4 linked regions of the Oryzias latipes genome follow. The protein of the gene in region 2 interacts with the protein of the main gene of each other region in a biochemical or structural test. Links are inferred from orthologs where the notes say so. Each region holds a gene or a part of one and is shown on either strand. Other genes may lie near its edges. The genes, in order: transducin-like enhancer protein 1, lef1, microphthalmia-associated transcription factor and nlk.

Region 1 (4,971 bases), on a different chromosome or scaffold from region 2:
TCTCAGGTTTTTAGGACCTAGTATTATGACCTCAGTTTTTTCTGGGTTTAGAAGGGGGTAAGTAATTTTCCTCCAGGTCTTGATGTCTGTGTTTCTTTATATGGTCAGTGGTGATTCAATGGAGGTGAATCAGGAGCAGACAACAAAGTGCTGTTTGAAAAACTTTGTTGCGAGCAGCTAGCTCCCTGCCCCTCTCCACTTGCAGACAAATAGATCCACATAGTGGTACATCTTAATTTTCATTGTCTGAACTGGCTTAAATCTGTAAGGCTGGATAGCCTCAATTTTGCTTTCCTCTTCTTTTTTTTTTTTTTTTTTTTTGCACCGGTAATGTTAGGTTGGGGTTTTGAGGGGCTATAAGATAGCAGTAGAGAACATGACAACAAAGAAATGAAGCTGACAAACTATTTGTGGTAAAAAGTAGCTGAAACAAAAACGAAAAAAAACAAGAGAACTTGAATTTGACCATCAGCAACATGATGTCCTCATTTCAAAATAAAAGTCCTAACACTAGAGCGCAAAATGTTTGGTCAAAGACTGGTCAAATAAAAAGAAAAATATTGTGTAAAAAATTTTTTAGTTTTTTTTAACTCATTAGCTTGAATCTGTGAATTAAAAACCCTAGGGGACTTATTTTCGCCAACTTCATTGCTCAGCTTTTTCCATGCAGAGCTATCAGAGTTGGATTATCTCGCTTGCTAAACTGGCTAGCCTTTCCCTAATTCTACTTGTGTGGAATAGATAGAAATTCACATCCTGAACGAATTTAGGGCTCGAGAGTTGAAGCTTTTTTACCCTCTGACTTGTGCCCTTTGTAGAATCGCTTGCAGTTTATGGTAGATGGCGTATACTTGTATAGCGCTTGTTTTTACCTTCCTCGAAGGCCCAAGGCGCTTCAGTCTCAAACCCATTCACATACTGGTAAGCACTGGCGCCAACCTTCCACCAGAGGCAAGGTGGGGATCAGCGTCTTGCCCAATGACACTTCAATGCATGGACGGGTGAGGCAGGAATCGAACCACCACTGCTGCACCACGGAGGCTATAAAAACCACTTTGATTTTTCCTGATTACATGTAAAAGACATACAAAAACTGTTTATTTCTAAATCATGTCTTGTAAGAAAACAAAATGTACAATTTTATATACAGACCAAAAAGGACAGAAAAACATGACAGAACATTACCTGCACAACTTTAAAATACTTTTAAAACAGTTTTATCTTGATCTTATAATATTCTTTATGTCTCTGTTCAAATGTGCTAAAGGAGGTTTTAGTTTTATTTTCCAATAGCCGAGCACTAATGAACTGCTAAAAGATTTGTAATTGGATCTTGTTAAGGAAGTGGAAATAACCATTTACACAATAAGACATCGAGTGTTGGACTGATGAAGGCAGGGAGATGATGAGGTTAAGACCTGTTGATTTGATGTGAAGGCTGTGTCATATAAAGAAAAAAAAAAATCACAGTATAAAAGCTACCAATGACCCATTCTTATGCTGACCATCCATCAGAGCCTGAAATCACCAGTGACATCTCAAAAACTCAACTTCATTAGAAGAAAATAACTTTTTCTAAACTGAATGCAACTAAGCACTGTTTTGACATTTGTGTGCATTGAAAAGACAAAAAAAACTTTCCAATTATTTGTACTTCAAAATACTTTTTCAAAGTCTGAAGTTGAAACAAAGAGCGTGTCTCAACTCAGAGGTTTTATAAAAGAATACCGTTAAACAACCAATCTCCCCTTTCTGTGCCTCCACCATCACATTTGGGAATTTTCAGAATTTTAGGCTTGTTTCTTCGTTTTCACCCCTTTAGAGAAGTTAGTATAAAAAAAAAAATTATGAAAAGACAGGAAAAAGTTGTAGGTCCCTGCTTGACTATTTCTGGAAGCGAATGTGAAGCTTTATATTTTCTGCATTCGTTCTTCACCCCTTATATTTTTTTTTTTTTTTATATAAAGTCTTGCTCATGTTTACAGATTGGCCACTTTGACGCTGGCTGAGAAACCAAATATTGGCTCGAGTTCATTCAAAGATCTGTATCCAGTCGCCTTTTTGTCACTAAACCCCCAACTGGTCGAGAAGCAGATGATCCAGAATCCACAGTTTTTCTTTGTCCGCTCCAATAATTTCCCTCAGATGTGGAGTCACGTTCACAGGCACAATAAATATCTGCAGGTTAAATTTAGCCTCCTTTCAGCGTCTCTGCAGCAGGCGTAAGAAAACAATAAATAAATGTCCTGGTAAAGTTCCTTTCTTCTTGTGATTTCTCGCTCCACGAGAAGAGTTCCATGGAAACATTTGTAGTAAATGGAAAGCATTGCTGCTTTTTTCCAAGGGTTTCAGTAGATGACTTCATAAACAGTGGCCTTCTTATCACCTGACCCAGTGACGATGTATTTGTCATCCACAGATATGTCACAGCTCAACACTGAAGAGGATTCTTTAGACTGAGAAAAGAAACAAGAAAAGAGAGAATCCCATTATTACCAAACACAAAAGTTTTTAATTACATCCGAAATAAAAAGTATTTGTCGTTATGTAAAGTGATATTTACATATCAACACTATGTACTTTGTAAAAAGTATTATTCATATAAATGATGACGTTTCTTAAGAAATAAAAAAGCTAAACAGGATTAACCTTTAAGTGATGCTTATGCACCGGAATCAAACTAAATGAGCTACTTTTAAACCAACAAATGCACAGGAGTCAAAGACATTATTCAGAAAACTCTTATTTTTATGAACCAATGCTTGAAAGAAACTGCATTTGTGAAAATGCAGAAAAATTAGGGGTTTAAATTGAGTTTAAATTAATCAATTGATTAAAAACAAGCAATATTGATTCAGTTAATTAATTCATCTATGTTTTTTTCTTCTTCCATCTTTTATTTAGTGTTTAAAGATAAGAATTTATTTTTATTTTTAGAAAATGTTGTCTTTGTTTAGTTTTAATCAGTTGTGTAAAAACTATTTTTCTTTGTCAAATAAATTGGTAAAATAAATTGTGAAATGATTAAATTAATTGCATTAATGCTCAACCCTGGTTTCATTTGTTAAATAATTTAAAAGACATTTGATTGAATGAACAAATCCGTTTTCCCAACCTGGAATATGCTGGCTCCATAGGGTGTTCTCCATGCGTTCAATAAGTTGTCCTTTCCGGTGCTCACAAACCATTTGCCTAGTGAAACACAAACACACAACAGGAGAAAAAGAAAAGAGAAAATGACATTTTCATCAGGAAAAAAACTTTACAGTACCGGTAAATAAAAATGTTTTGTATCGTGAGGAAAAATTCAATCACTACAGTTTCTTTATCCAGACATAAAATTTTAGGATACGTTTGTTTTGAAGAAGTCTAAATTGTTTGCACAAACAGTGAGACACTGGGCTGCTTACCACAGTATGCAAACTGTAGAGAAAGAACACAGCTCTCATGTAGGTGAAGCTGATATTTATCAGGCTTGGTGACATGAAGGACCTCCACATTGCTGCTCTCCATCCCAACAGCAAGCCATTCTCCTGTGGGACAGTAGCCCAGAGAAAAGATCTGGACAAAGGAGAGGAATTAGGATTAAAGTTTTGATTCGTAATTTACGCCCTGACTTTTAACACAGAACAAATGGGGGGAAAAAACTCAAATACCTGTGAGGTGAAGTCGTGCTGCTGCAGCTGCCGTCCCTCCCTCAGGTCCCAGGAGCGGACAGTGTTATCCAGGCCTCCTGTCCACAATTTGGTGCCATCGTTGGAGATGTCAATACAGCTGGCCCCATCGGTGTGGCCCTGGAATTGCCTGAGGGACACACATGCAAGTTCCATTTAGAAAGCATTGTTTGAATACATAGATAAATGGCTTCAGCTTTAGCTTAATCAAGTTCAGGCCGAAGCAAATGTGAGTCATATTTAAAGCTATCGATACAACAATGAGTAGCATCTGTTTTGAAAAGAAAATAAACCGAGTGGTTGTAGATAACCTCTACATAACTATCCATACCAGGCATAAGTTACAAATGACATTAACACTAAAAAACAGAAGCTCTGGGCAATAAAATCTATTTTTACCTGACAAGGGTCTGATTGTGTAGATCCCAGACTGCGATGTTTCCATCGCTGCAGCAGGAGAAGCAGACCTTTGAGTCTGGACTGATGGCCAGAGCGTAGCAGGCTGGTGCCGATGACGTCAACTCTGCTTTAATTCTAGGAGTGGGTGTGGCCAAATCCCAGATTGACAACGTGCTGGCCTCACCACCTACGATAAGCGTTCGACCATCGGGGAGGAGACGACACGAGCGGATGTAGTTATCCCGGTTCTGAAGAAAAAAAGGCATAGTTTATGAATACGTTTGTTTAAAATATTTTGTCTGTATCCATGCAACATAGTACAACAACAGCTATTAAAAATTAATTGAGTAAGAACTATAGAATGAAATACTCTTTAAAAAATGCTTAATGTGGCCATCATTTTGATTTGTAGCTTTTCCAGTGGCAAAAAGAGAAAAAAAAACAACAGTTATGAAGATAAAGAACCGTCAAAAGAAACAAAAGGCAGACTGTCTTCATCACTGTGAGGTTGTTTACCAACTATGCAAAAGAAATGCAAAGTCAAATTCACGTTGAGCTTGGAATCAACTGAAATGGTAATTTCTTACTTTATTAATACACATCTGTACATTGCAATGTGTTCAAGACAGAGAGATGCTTGTTTCCAGCATTTTCATCCTAATGAGAAGTGTTAGGCTAAAGGCAAAGTCCATGCCAACTCCTAATTAGTCTGAATGTTGTCCCTTGTCCTACACAACAGCATGAAAGAATTTAAGGAGTTCAGTTCTCCCAAATTCTACGTTCACACCGGGAATGTAATGTGCATTCTTGAACATGCATTTAGCAGGGATGGGCTGCTTATTCTTGTTCTTTTCCTACCGTTTACTAGCACAAGTCTTCAAACTATCATTGGAAGAGG
Region 2 (4,490 bases):
CTGGAAAACAACCATAAAATATGTGGCTAAGATACTTTGAGAGTATACAATACAAAGAAAATGTCTTATTAGTCTTTTTTTTTTTTTACACAATATATGGCTGATGCTGACAAAGATAATCTCAGTTTTTTAAATTTTAGGTGGGGTTTGCATTTTAGTCACAAGACTCCCTTTGCTCAAAGACAGCTGGGATATGCTCCGACAACCTTCTTGATCCATATCATAGCAGAGTAGGTGTTAGTCATAAATAGAATGGGTTTTCATTATGGTTGTGTAGCTTTCCCTCTCACACGATGGATATGCATCTCAATACATAAAAGATTCAATTACCTTTGTGGCAATACATAACAGTGCAACTCTCATACCTATGGTTACAATCTAAATATGTATTATTCATCTGTCATTTAAAATTATACATGAAACAGCTTTAAACGTATAAACTTGGCATTTTTGGGTCTTTTAGATCATTTTGATATTTGCTTGGATCAAATGTACATAAAAAAGCAAAGAAAGCAGAGGACACAACAGGAAGAGAAACTGATAAAGTACCATAATCTTGTTTGTAACTGTATTTTTAACGGATACTGCCGTTACTCTCAGTACTGAATCCATTTTTTTTTCATACGTTTCTGCATCCTTTACATCTCTAGCTGTTTGTCGCTGGTGGTTCACAACTGGTTAATGACACAAGTGCAAACACAAGCTAGCAGCCAATGACAAAGAGGAAAAAAGGACAAGGAAATAGTTTCACGAACAGAAGAAATAAAGCCAAAATGACATCAACAGGACAAACTCATCCTAAAAAACTTGGATGGGAGTGTTTCCTTGGTTTGAAGAAGCATAGTCCTCTACAGTTGTAAGATTTGTGATTGTTCAAAAAGACCAACTCTGACCTCAATATTTAACAAGGAGAAAAGGAGAATCATTTGTTCTTTGAGCTATGTTCCTGTTAGTGTGTTTCAGCATCTTTAAGCTGCATAATTGCAGCTTCTTCTTAACGGTGGAGGCAGCCGTGCTCCCTGTAGGCACGGGATCGGCTCAGACTGACTGTTTGGACTAACCTCTCCTTTCTCCACCTCCTTCTGGGCTTCAAGGTCAGGAGGTCTATTTTCCAAACAGAAGGCAGTGAAAACGGAGCTGCAGGATGACAAAAATCTGTCTGACTTGAAAATCCCTTCTTCTCCTAAATCAATTTGTTTCCTGGTCTTTCCCGGCAGGTCAAGCAGACATCAGGAAATGCTGTTCATGCACAGACAAGTGGAATGCAGCTCCTCGCAACCCAAAAACACACCAAAAAAAGGAAAGGGCACATGCGTCCAGATTAGCACCATCTTCCAAACCCCGCTGGAGCCCGCCTTTCCTCCCCTGCTTCTCTCATCTCTGGTCCTCCTCCTTCTCTCCCCAGGCTGGGATCTGAAGGGGCATCCCTCCTTGGAGAGGCAGCTTGAGAGGGAGGCTTATATCCCCAAAGCCAATGTTGCGACGCTGGATTCATGGCGCGGATAGTCCTGCTTCCTCCTCACTAATCCACCGCCTAACACTCCTTTAGGGCCCTCCCAAAGGGAGAAAGGAAGGAGGCGAGAGGTGAAGCAGCAGGGGAGGAAGAGAGAGCCCCAGCGTGTTAACCTTGTCACTCACACCTCTATGATGCCTAATTACACCCGCTCGCTCCTCATTTTACACATTCCCGTTGGCGTCCAACGAAGCCAAAACAAGACACACACTAGCTGGATACAGCTGGCGCTCATATTTAAACTCTGAATGTTAGATTTGCCTTTATACACGCAGAAATTAGCAACAATTCTCCTCCACCCCCTCCCTCGGTGCGACCTTCCAGCCCACATAGAGGCCCTCTGCATTTTAGAGCCCATAATGAGAAAATCCATGATTGTTTTTCATAATTAACGAGCGGATCAAAGTCAGAGCCCGCTAAAGGAAGCAGAGCAGCAATTGGTCGATATGAGAGAAAGAACTAGAGGGACAGCAAACGAGGAGAATGAGGGGAGATTTGGTTTTCAGCGTGTTCGGCCCAGCTCTACCCATACATGAATATGCCTAGGGAAATCATTTGCAGCTAATTTTGCAACTGGATTGCTTGGACATGGATTTCTGTTAGGCTCTGAATGCCAAGATCAAATGCTAAGGAAAAGGCCCCCCAGGTGCTTCTTTCCACTCTTCGCTGTCAGAAACAGGGCGAATAGGAAAATGAAAAGAAACTGCCGCTGAATTCTACGTGACAAGAACTCCTCAAACCCAGCGAGTGCACCTCTTGCTTTGTTACCTGTTTGTTCTTTTTTACTATGTAGTTGGAAGGTAAAAATATCCCAGCACGTGTGTCAGATGTATGACATATGTGGAGCTTAAATCTCACAGGGCTGCATCCCTTGTGCTTACATCCTTATTTATAGTTGGTCCCTCAGAACTCCTCGTCTTCATCGCCTACATCATCCCCCTCCTTTTCAACTGGCAGCCACAGAAGAAGAAAGCAAAGAAAAGCGAAAACGGTGCAGGACAAAACTATGTTTGGCCCGCGTCTCTGTGGCATCAAGCGAAGGAGCTGCCAAAGTTTCCAGCTGCGCGGGGCTGAAGAGCCCGTCCAAACAGCAGAGGAGCTTCTCCGCAGCTGTCAGAGCTACAGCTTGAAGTTGTTCCCAAGAGGCAAAGAGTGCAGAGGGAGAGGGCATCAGAGCTCAGCGTGCCATCCCACAGGCTGCTTCAAATGAATTCTCACTCAGAGATGTTAGGAGGATGACTTTGTTTTGACATATTTTTAGCAGGAGCATCTCTGATTCTTGACAGAGTTGACAGTTGTAGTTAAATAAAAAAACACACACACCAGGTATCAGCTCAGTCACATGTAGATCTAGTTTGACAAAATCCTGCATCTCGTGCTTTATTTCAGACACAGAAAACTTCAGGGCAGTGAGATAAACAGGTTTTTCTTTTGGGTAAAAGCCCTTTGGGGGCCACATGACAGCACTTACACCTAAATATAGTGAGACGATGCTCAGAAAAAGTTGCATTGATCTGTAAATAGCTCTGCCACAACATGAGCGGCTTTCAAACGAACGCCATGGACATGCCGCTCACTGTGCAACACGCCTGCTTCTCCTACCTTGTTTGTTGTTGGCATCTTGTGGGTGGAGGCCCGAATGAGAGCCTGGGGCGAAGTGCTCGTCGCTGTACGTGATCAGCGGGGTCAGTGGGTGGACTGCATGGGACGGCTGCACCACGGGGACTTTGTTGGACTGCGGAGACAAGTGCAACTGGATTTAGGAACGGTGTGTAACTCCAATATAATGCATGGTAGAGAACAGGTGAACTATTTCCATCTGGCTTTAAGACTTTGCTCAAGAAGACACTTTAAAAAATGTTGTTGTTTTTTTCTCTGTGCGCCCAGCAGTTCAGAACTTTGTTTAGCCTAGGTCAGCAGGACTACAAAATTCCACTCCCTGAAGACAAGAGGGAAAACAAGCCAAAGAGGGAGCGTGTGCAAGTTCTGATAGAAACAGAAAGAAAGATGCACACAGAAGGGAAGCAAGCGAGCAGTGGAGCAAAGAGTGGAGGGGGGGGGGGAGATGAGAGACTTGCAAGGTAGTGTTAGAGCAGAGGTCTGAGGCGGGAGATCAAAGGCAGTCATTAGCCGGTGAATAAGGGGAGTTCATTACAGAGCAAGAGCTGGGGGAAGAAGAGATGAGGGATGGAGGAGGAGGAGGAGGAAGGGACGGGGGGTTGACTATAGAGTAGGGGTGCAATGGATAACACGACTCACGGTTCGGATCGTGTCACGGTTTTAGCGTCAGGATTCGGATAATTTTTCGGATCAGTTAAATGGGAAAAAAAAACACGGGAAAAATGATGAGCGAGGTGCGTACGAGGAGGAGGGTGGGGGTGAACCATGGCTAGTGTATCACTGATAATCCGGGATCTGTTGCACCCCCACTATGGAGAGAATGCGTGAGTAAGACAGATGTCTGCAGTGGTGCCTAATGTAGGGGTAATCACGTCAACAGTGGCTCCTCATCCTGCGATGACTCAGAGGGAACTTGCAGTACCTCCTGACAATTAAAACCGACCCAAACAGGCACAGCAGAACCTCAGCCAACAGCTCTCGCACGCTTAATCTGGACGAAACACATGGGAGTGTTTAGTACGACTAAATCTGCTTTAAAAATTTGAACCCTGAGGCAAGCTGGAGTCCAAATATCACCTTAAAGACCCACTAAGATGAAGGTTGTATTTTTGGTGTTTTTAGCATGTTATTGTCTCATTTTTCTGATGTTTAAAGAAAAATAAGCTTAAAATTGCATTTCTGAACATTTCCTCTATTCAAATCGTAGTGAATCAGGAGCAGATGAAAAAAGATACTCTTTATAAAAGCTTGTAATTGTTGCGTACAAACTCCAATCGTCAGGCCACATGGTCCCTGCTCTGCTCCATTCCCATGCATCCACTTGCAGACGACTAGATCCGTGAACGTCTTCATTCTC
Region 3 (4,991 bases), on a different chromosome or scaffold from region 2:
TTTTTTGAGTCAGCCTTTACTGTAATTACTGCATGTTTTTACTTTTAGAGAACGTAGCATTTTTTCTGCCTTTATTATGTTTTTTTCTTTGCTTAAACAAACATTTGTTTGTTTAAATTCTTCAACCTGGTCATGAATTTTTACAATCATGCCACCCAAGACTCTGTTTCTTAGTTTTCAAGGCTTCACCTCTCAGCAGAAGCAAACTTTCATTTGACATGTCAAAAAAAAAAAAAAACTCAAACTGGTTCAGCAGGAAAAGGAGAATGCAAATAATCCACTTTTGTCTCAGCTGGTTGACGTTGACTTTGACTTTAAAACTCTACTGCCCCTTAGTGGTAAATAGGAGCCAAAGCCTGCAGTTGAAAAACAGCTGGCAAGAACTGGAGTTAAAAAAAAGTGATATGTATTTGTCTTAAAAGGCCAAGGGACGATAACAAAATACTAATACTACTGCTACTAATAATAAAGGATTTTAAAAGGAAAAAGAGTTGATTATGTTTTCAAATCTCTGCCTGGGTGATTGCATAAATAAACTGATGATTAATTGTTTTAATGAAAATATATCTTTAAAAAAAAGACATAATATATATATATATATATATATATATATATATATATATATATATATATATATATATATATATATATATATATATATATATATATATATATATATATATATATATAATTTTTTTTCTGTGATTTTTTTAAACAAAAGGTCTTGACCAAAATAGTTGATACTTTTTATCACGTCATTTTTATTTCTACACACTCTACGTCTTAATTGTAACAACTGACCTCTACAAATTAAAAGTTCATTTTCAGAGTCAAACAGACTTTGACAGTTTAATTTTCAACAGGCACATTCAACAGGCTGTAAAAAGCCAATATAATGCATCACTGGGATATATATCTCAATCAATATTTAGCATACGATGTAAACATTATTGCAGAATATTAATATTTATAATTATTTATAATTATTATTATTATTATTATTATTATTTATAATTAGACGGCTCATGTTGCCTGTGTTAGCGACAAAGTCAGAGAAGCCAGACTGAGATGGTTTGGACATATTCAGAGGAGGGATAGTGGATATATTGGTAGAAGGATGTTGGAGATGGAGCTGCCTGGCAGGAGGGCAAGAGGACGGCCAAAGAGGAGATATATGGATGTCTTAACAGAGGACATGAAGTTGGCTAATGTTAGGGTAGAAGATGTCCATGATAGAGTGAGGTGGAAAAGGATGATTCGCTGTGGCGACCCCTGATGGGAAAAGCCGAATGAGAAAGAAGAAGATTAATATTTTAGTCTAAAGAAAATTATAGCCAGCCTATTGTATTTTCTATTTCTTTTGATTCACAACTATTTGGATAGAGAAATACTTGATACACTTTAAGCCTAATTTTCTTTACATATGTCCTCCATCATCAGATAAATGCTTGAAAAACATGTTAAAAACACAAAAAACGCGATTTCGATCGGAGTGGGTCTCTAAAGGTGTTTATGGGACAGAAATCACCTGCTCAGTGAGCAGGTAAAGCGTCTGAAACCCCGTCGCACCTCGCAGCCAATCAAAGCTAACGCGACATTGACAGCCTTTTGATGCATTGTGGGACTTGTAGTTAGGTCGTATGCCACAGCGCGTTAGCGGGGCTGTTATCACAGCTGGAATAGACTACAGAGGTTCGTGTCCCGGGCAGAGGCGGCTTGCGTTGACAGTTGGTTGGTCCTCGAAGAAGCGCAGCGGCTCCAACATCGCCCCGCAGTTTTGTTTTGTTTTACTTGTTTGTGGGTTTTTTTTACGTTCTGGAAAAGTTGACGTCTGCAAGTATGCAGTCCGAATCCGGAATAGTTCCTGACTTTGAGGTCGGCGAGGACCTTCAGGACGAGCCTAAAACGTACTATGAGCTGAAGAGTCAACCTTTGAAAAACAGGTCAGTCCATTTCCCGTGGACAGTTATTTCCCACTCTGAAGCGGTTTTCAGGTTTGGGTGATAATTAGCCTCCGAGCTGTCTACTGAGCGTCGCGCGGAGGCCGAGCGCGCGCGAGGCTGTCCCGGCGGGGGGGGGGGATGTGTTGCCCAGCTGTGGAGTGGGATTCGGCTGCCTCTCATTCAAAGTTATGCAACACTTGGGTGTTGTCTTGTCAACATCAACTTCAAATATTGGCTCGTGGAGGAGCAGACAGGTCAGAGTTGAGTGAGATGCTGCTCACGCCAGGGACTCCTAACACAATTGATGCTACTTTATTTTTTATATTTCTGTCAAGAATGACTCCAAATGGACCTCAAACAATGTTAGTCAAACCCATTTATTTCATTATTATTTTAGTAAAATATCGATGCTTCATGAGATTTCCCCTTCAAAATAAAAGCACATTCAGAGGCTGCTGGAGGGGTGTAAAAGGTGACCAGTTGTCATAATAGTTGTCCAACCCGATGACCCTGATGTCTAATGTTGCAAGAGTAATTTTGGGGACTATCCGAACTGTGTACAAGTTGCTGAGTCAGCTTTAAGTGGCCCAAATCTGCCTTTCCGCCTTTTTTCAGGAACTTCTGCAGAGCCAGCATGCAATATAGGTTATTTTATTAGATCAGCTGTTAGGATGGAACACTCTAAGAATAGGAGTCAATTATGAATCTGATATATAAAATTGTGTAATTAGATTGAACAAACCATTGTTTCCTATTCGTGGCAAGCCTAAAGTGTAATTTTTAGGAAAGATGATGACTTGGAGTGACGGATTCGTGGATTCGTCAGATATGTGCTAAAGATGGATGAGCAGCGGCATCCTCACTTTTGATGCAACAACATGACTTCTCTCTGGGTGACATGTGAGCAAAACGAAACACCTCAGACTCTTCCTTCAACTTAGGAGCTGCAAAGCTGCTAATGATGACATGCGTCAACAAACTGCGATCCCATTCTCTCCGTCTCCTGTCGTCACCTTAGAGTTTGATTCCCTCAAGGCTGTCCTTGCTGCTGCCAGATCTAGACAGCCACAAGACAGAGCGCCACTGTTCTCAAACAAAGCAGTTTTTTTTCCTGTTGCCCTCCCTCCCTTCTGTTTCTCCGTATTTTGCTGTGGAGTTGCAGCTTTTCTCCTCTTTATTTCTTTCTTTAAGTCGACCAAAAACATAAGCTAAGAGAAAATCGCATAAATCTCATGAAACTATAACCTTTAGCCCAGTTTTTCCTTTTCTTTTTCCAAGTAATGTCAATTTCGTCATTAGTGAAATGTCATTACATTGTTACACGTACATAGACCAAGTCGGAGATGCCGCAAGAGTAAATATAACCCCTGAAATATCAACACAGTTGGCTAGTATGACAGAACATAGTTGAGAACATGTGGGATTTTTCTAAGCCTTTTGCTTTTATTGTTTTTTTTTTTTTAAATGTCCCACTTCCCCTTTCCATCACATGAGCATGATCTATCATAACAATGACTGTGTTGGGAGCCGTTATGACACTAAAGATTGATTATTTGGCGTTGCCCAAAAGTCAGGTAAGAGCTGCTTCGTCCCAGCTGCTTCGGAAGGAGAAATGTTGACAGTGACACAGTATCACCTCCGTTTCACGGATAGGTTTGCTTCCCTGCTGTCCCCAATCAGGCCGACAGAGCGAGCTGCTGCAGACGCTGTCCTGGACTTTCAGTGCCTATATTTAGATGTGAGGCAGACGCTGAACTAGTCTTATATGCAGTGTAAATAAGCTGTATAAATTTAGCCGTAGAAGTGTTAAATCTGAAATAAGTGGGGTTTTTTTGTGTGTGTATGTGCGTTCTCAAGCAAACTCTCGAAGCTAAACTTTTACATTGTTAAGCCCGTTTACATCCATTTAATATATTGGATTTCTTGAATTATGCGATTTTTCAAGTGACCGTGCAAACAGGAGAGTCTGATATCCTTTATCTGATAGTACCGAGATAAAATCGCATTAAGATTTCTAAGATTCCGTATTCCTCTCCACAAGCTAATGCAACCACCAGTTTGCCTAAAACAGGCTGACAGTAGGGCTTGAAAGTGACAGGATTGCATATTCTCATCCTCCAATCATCTTTTGAGTTATTTTACAAGCATTCCCAACAAGCCCTTGTTTAAATATGATTATACCATAGTCCGAGTGAATACTCGATTCTGATTGGCCATTCATCAAAAATTCTGAGTTGTGGGCAAGGCTGTTGGGACAGTAAAACCCGCCCCTTTCCCCCATCTTCATCGCTAAGACCTCAGAGCAGGGAGCTTGTGGCCCACCAAGCTTATTCTCTTCATCACAAATACATTGTTTTTCAAAAGGCATTTTGTTTGTTTGCTCTTGATTCACAACAATTTCAATGAAGACATTCCTCATAAATGCAATTTTAAGCTAAATTTACTAAATAAATGTCTTCCATCATCAGAAAAATGCCACAAGAACACGTTAAAAACACATTTCATTTTCATTGGAGTGGGTCTTTACAATGCATTGCAGCTAGTGCTGTGGAGTCCATTTACATGCCCACAAAAAAATCCGGTCATATCTGATATTAGACTATTCAAAGGGTCATGTTAGCAGCACCATCTGATTTTTCTTGTCAGATAAGCAGCTAGGGATGTGATTTCTTCCTGCATGTCTATCTTTTTGTCAGATTTATTTTGTTTTTGTTTTGACATCTATACAATGTGAGAAAAAAAAGGGGGAAAAATATTGGCATAGAGACAGTGTGAGTGCAAAATGAAAAACTTTGGTCACTAGGGCTGCACAATATGAGGAAACTTGCATTGTGCGATATTAGTGATCAATATTGTGATGATGATAACACTTTCGATACGTGAACAAAAATGTCGTAAAACAAACAAAAAAACAACAAAAGAATTATTGACATTTAACTGCAACAGTTTTATTTGAATGAAAGTCAGTATTACTTAAATCATACTCCAAGTGAGGCAGGTATCATTCGATTGGTCGACAACCTGAAGGGCTCTATTTGATTAGCTAAA
Region 4 (5,046 bases), on a different chromosome or scaffold from region 2:
TGCACATGCTTCTATTTTACCATGAAGCGCTGTATGATAGTTTCTGCTTGTCACACTTCCTGTCATTTCAGTCAGACACAGACGAGTTTTGGGGATTATAGAATATGTCTAAATATAAACTAACCAATCAAACAAGGAAACTTTAAATGATCCCAGAAGTATTTTTCTCCTATGTTCTGATGGTTTGTTGTTAAATAAAGTTAAAGTTAAAAGCTAATCCTCGATGTTTTGTAGAATTACCAAAGCCATCTCTACCATCATAGTGTCACGTCATGCAACTAAATCAGGATGACGAGAAACAAATGGGCTCAACACCGTCATTGTTGACGACAGCTTCTCTTCCTGTGCAGGGCCATGGGGGCGCTGGAGCCAATCCCAGCTGTTACAGGGTGACAGCAGGGCCCATACTGTACAGGTCCCCACTTCAGAACAGGGATCTGTGTATGCATTAACCAGCAATGTCAAACCTGTATACAAGTCTTTGTTGGGTGGATGGTTTGGGAACTATAGATTTGTTCTATTGTTCCTTCGAATCTCAAAATCTGCCATATTTAGATATGTGCATTTATGGAAATGTTCAACATGTTTGTTTCCATGTTGTGTTTTTAACCCTTTAACACAGGAACTTTATCTTACCGTAGACGTTCCTTCGATTACTCTTCAACCATTTACACAAAGTCCTTCCAGGGATTCTTCAGCAGAGAAAAGCCGCCACGGGCTGATTTGCAATACATTTTAGCAGTGAAGTGCTTTCACAAAACAACATCAGTCAGCTCATTACATTTCCAAGAAAAGTGACTTTGCACCTTTGAGCAACAATATGCTTTCAGTAAGTGTTGCATAGCAGCACAAAACCGATACGAGAAGCTGCTTGTCTCCGTATCAGCGTCAGATGATTCACATTGATTGAGAAAATGGTCCAACAGTTGCGGGACGCCAAAAAGCGTGGTTTACTTCGGTGTCAACGGCGACATCTCCAGAGTTAAAGGGTTAACTCAATGGTCATTTATGAAACTATGTGAGCAGTCTGAGTCCACAACAATGAAGTTTTGTCTGTAAACGGTGTAGGACTCAAAGTTGCAGGCTTAAACATCTAAATATATATTACTTTTGTTTACAGATGACACATTATCATTCCACTACCTCCGTGCCTCGCTGAAAGTATGCCGATTCTGGCTACAGGAGGCAAATGGGGGAAGACCCGCTTGTTTTGCTTTCCTGTAAAGTCTGTTTTTCCTTTGTTGTTGTACCCTCCACCAGTTACCCACCGCTACACGCACACACGCATGCACACACACACACACACGCACGCATGCATACGCTCCATGTAAACACAGAGCTAAAAAACGTTCTGTTTCCAGAAACAGAGGAATGGTCAGGGTACCCCTCAGAGAACCCGGGTTGGTTTTGTGCCATGGCTTTATCCTCTTCCTGCTGTCAGTGCTCCCCACCATTACCTCCCTCTTTTTTCCCTCTCACTTCTACCTTTTAGTTCATCTCTCAATATTTGATGAAAACTTTCTGGCTCCAGCCTCAGACTAAGTCAATGTGCTAGCTAGCACCTGATGGATTTTCAGAAAGGTAGCATTTGTTTGTTTATTCTATCAGAGGTCCAAAGTGCCTGACACCTCATCAGAACAACTTGGTGAGTCCAGAGCATGAACCAAAACCAAAAGCCAAAACCAGCAGGAACTCAGGTCCAACACCCGTTTCAAGAACCTGGGGGAGTGATGACAGGCCTGTGGACACTTACCAGACAACCCCAAATGCTCCATAGCCAATGGGCCGGTCCGGTTCAATGTCCAGCTGCTGTTGGAGGTGATGAGAGTTCTGCTGGTGCTGGTGGTGGGCTTTGACACCAGCAGCAGCCTGAACCTGGGCAGGAGCGGCGGCGGCTGCCGGCCCAGGGGCTTGTCCGGGGGCGGGAGAGGGGAAGTACGGCTGCTGCTGGCCGGGGTTGAGCATCACCGCCGCCGCCGCCGCTGCGGTCGTGTGCTGCTGGACCGTGTGCACGGCCGCAGCGGAGCCTGGGTGCTGCAGGTGGTGCTGGCCCGCGTGGTGGTGGTGGTGGTGGTGGTGGTGCATGTGGGGCGGCGGGAGGTGCTGGAGCTGCTGGTGGTGGTGATGGGCAGCAGCCACTGCCGAGGAGCCGCCGGGGTAAGCTGCCATCATTTTTGGAGCATTGGCGGCGGTGGTGCCACACAGAGCCATCCACCTCCTGAGGAGACGAGGAAGGTCAGCAGACACTCAGCCAGAACAGAACCAGAACCGCTGAGGATCCAACATGAGACGACCCGCTTCAATGACAGAGGAGGGGAAGTCTGTGGAGCATCGTGTCAACGACCCACTTCCACGCTCTAGAGTTCTCAGGGATTCAGAGTAACAGAACCCGAACCCCGGTCCAGGAAGACAGCTGGCGGCCCGTGACGGCCCTCATGAGGCGGCCTCGTCCTGACAGCAGCGGCCTTGGTTACATCACATGCCGCGCAGCCGCAGCTTCATCTCCCGCATCGCGGTCCAGCGTCCACGCGCTCTGGATCAGCACCGGAAGTCCTCCCACCGAGCAGCTCTGGCGGTTCAGAAATGTTCGGCGCTGTTCCGAACGGACTTTTCTGCTCTGAGCGCGCAGGAAGCTACTTCGCGGTCGGAGGTGAACTCCGAGCTGGGGGTCCGGTGCAGAGAGGGTGTCTCCCGGCCCGGGAGCACGCCGCCCCCATCCGTTCCACTCAGTCACACGGAGCGGCGCAGGTCCACGGAGGTTCGGAGCGGGGACGGGGCCGCGAGCATGACTGGGGTTGGCAAAGCCTTGAAGTCGGTTTCTCAAGTTCGGTCCGTCCGCCCGCTTCGGGTCGGTGGCCCACAGGTGCTCATGCAGCGGGACACGTGACCCGAGCAGTTCGGTGCGTGTGAACGCGGGATGACCCAGCTCCGCGCCGCGCGCCGCTCAGCCTGACAGCCCGGAGCTAGCAGCAGCTCGAGCCGCGCGCCGCATCACGAACCCAGCTCGAGGGGGAACCGCCGCTGTCGCACCGACACGGACCCGAAACTCCACAGCCGAACCTCCGCGGTCCGGACCGGTGGAGCTGCTTTCTGCTGATCGATTACCAGGAATCCAGAGGCAGCGCTCGATCCAACATGGTGAACACAATCTGCGCTAATCGGCGGTGAGATGAGACCCAGCGAGCAGCCAATCACAGGCCGCGCGGCAGTGACGCAGACGAAATCTCCCCGATTGACAGGCAGCTCAGCCAATGGCGGCCCTCCAGCTGGGGTGACAGCAAGGCTGAGCGGCGCTGGGGGCGCCCGCTGATGCCCCCCTTCCCCCCGCTTGAATATTTATCTTTGTGCTGATGGAGACAGTTTCCTGCAGGCCGGTGGATCATCATCACCCCGCCTCCTGTTGGTCCGGGACAAACCCGTCCAGAGACGGGACCACTGAGTGAACCTCTCCTGGACAAACCTGTCCAGAACCCAAGGCTTTTCACTGAAAAGTTGACCTGAACAGAAGTTCCAGTCAGGTTCTAATGGATTCTCTTTCTACTCTAAGCTTTTAAAGGAAGTGATCACATTAATTTGACAGGTTTTAATCCAAAACAGTCCGGTATGCTACACCCATACAGGAGGCTGTTTTCAGTCAAACCAAATGAACATGACACCATCCACCTACCAGACAGAAATCACTGTTCTGTATGTCAATACAATAGAACAAGTCAGTGTTTGATTCAGAAAGGTTGACTGGCTGCCCACTCTTTGAAACCAAAGCAAAGGTTATGGTTAAATAATTTGGAGTTTCTGAAAAAAACATCCTTATAGGTGATCCTAAGTTCTGTGTATTTTCATTGTTGTATTCATTGTTGTTTAACAGCTTCACATTTACACAATAAATGTCGCACATTAGAAATCTTTAACTGTCCACACTAGACAGAACGATGTGATAGTTGGGGATCGTGAAGGTGGATAGAACATGCGCTACTTATGACCAAGAGACCAGAAGGAACACAGACGCGATGCACTGAAGGCTTCTTGATCAAATAATCTTCATTGAACTCTTTTATAACCTATTAAATGCCCATAAAAAACAGAGCTGTGAAAAATCTGACATTAATACTTTACAGATATTTGGTGTAGAAAGTAAATCTAGCCACAGGGGTTGCAAGCCAGTTGCCTCTGTGCCGGTCCCAAGCCCGGATAAATAGAGAGGGTTGCGTCAGGAAGGGCATCCGGCGTAAAAATTGCCAAAATAACCATGCGAATCATCCACAACACTTTAGACATACCGGATCGGTCGAGGCCCGGGTTAACAACGACCGCCACCGATGCTGTTAACCTACAGGGTGTCGGTGGAAATTTGACTACTGTTGGTGGAAGAAAGAGGGGAGGCAGAAGGGCCCGTGGCCAGAGAGAGAAGGGAAAAGGCAGGAACATAGGTTTGAGAATAGGGACTCTTAACGTTGGCACAATGACAGGGAAAGGCAGAGAGCTGGCAGACATGATGGAGAGAAGGAAGGTAGATGTACTGTGTGTGCAGGAGACAAGGTGGAAGGGCAGCAAGGCACGTAGTATTGGAGGAGGATACAAACTGTTCTATCATGGTGTTGATAGGAAGAGAAACGGGGTAGGAGTGATTCTGAAGGGGGAGTTTGTAAACAGTGTTCTAGAGGTGAAAAGAGTCTCAGACAGGATGATGAGCCTAAAGTTAGAAATCGAAGGGGTGATGGTGAATGTAGTCAGTGGGTATGCGCCACAGGTTGGCTGTGAGCTAGAAGTGAAGGAGAGATTCTGGAGTGAGTTGGATGAGGTCATACAGAGTTTCCCCAGAGGAGAGAGAGTTGTTATTGGAGCAGACTTTAATGGGCATGTTGGTGAGGGCAATAGAGGTGATGAGGAGGTGATGGGCAGGTTTGGTGTGAAGGAAAGGAATCTGGAGGGACAGATGGTGGTGGACTTTGCAAAGAGGATGGAAATGGCTGTAGTCAACACTTACTTCCAGAAGAGAGAGGAACATAGAGTGACATACAGAAGTGGAGGTAGGAGTACCCAGGTGGA

What was found.
Region 1: the proteins of lef1 (region 2) and transducin-like enhancer protein 1 form a complex in vitro, tested with the Homo sapiens proteins (2 studies listed by BioGRID and IntAct, with this or other methods). The link is inferred for Oryzias latipes from reciprocal best matches to the Homo sapiens genes LEF1 and TLE1.
Region 3: the proteins of lef1 (region 2) and microphthalmia-associated transcription factor form a complex in vitro, tested with the Homo sapiens proteins (2 studies listed by BioGRID). The link is inferred for Oryzias latipes from reciprocal best matches to the Homo sapiens genes LEF1 and MITF.
Region 4: of the proteins of lef1 (region 2) and nlk, one has a biochemical effect on the other in vitro, tested with the Homo sapiens proteins (4 studies listed by BioGRID). The link is inferred for Oryzias latipes from reciprocal best matches to the Homo sapiens genes LEF1 and NLK.

Annotation. Positions count from the first base shown.
Region 1 is NC_019867.2:10,634,740-10,639,710, reverse strand, and holds the end of transducin-like enhancer protein 1, read right to left. Parts: intron 4,322-4,971; coding exon 4,074-4,321; intron 3,805-4,073; coding exon 3,657-3,804; intron 3,562-3,656; coding exon 3,411-3,561; intron 3,193-3,410; coding exon 3,116-3,192; intron 2,457-3,115; coding exon 2,349-2,456; 3' UTR 1,237-2,348; downstream 1-1,236. UniProt on the Homo sapiens protein: Transcriptional corepressor that binds to a number of transcription factors. Inhibits NF-kappa-B-regulated gene expression. Inhibits the transcriptional activation mediated by FOXA2, and by CTNNB1 and TCF family members in Wnt signaling.
Region 2 is NC_019859.2:16,134,893-16,139,382, forward strand, and holds part of lef1 (lymphoid enhancer-binding factor 1), read right to left. Parts: intron 3,249-4,490; coding exon 3,116-3,248; intron 1-3,115. UniProt on the Homo sapiens protein: Transcription factor that binds DNA in a sequence-specific manner. Participates in the Wnt signaling pathway. Activates transcription of target genes in the presence of CTNNB1 and EP300.
Region 3 is NC_019865.2:20,303,524-20,308,514, reverse strand, and holds the start of microphthalmia-associated transcription factor, read left to right. Parts: upstream 1-1,686; 5' UTR 1,687-1,839; coding exon 1,840-1,943; intron 1,944-4,991. UniProt on the Homo sapiens protein: Transcription factor that acts as a master regulator of melanocyte survival and differentiation as well as melanosome biogenesis.
Region 4 is NC_019871.2:30,640,234-30,645,279, forward strand, and holds the start of nlk (serine/threonine-protein kinase NLK), read right to left. Parts: upstream 3,151-5,046; 5' UTR 2,212-3,150; coding exon 1,754-2,211; intron 1-1,753. UniProt on the Homo sapiens protein: Serine/threonine-protein kinase that regulates a number of transcription factors with key roles in cell fate determination. Positive effector of the non-canonical Wnt signaling pathway, acting downstream of WNT5A, MAP3K7/TAK1 and HIPK2.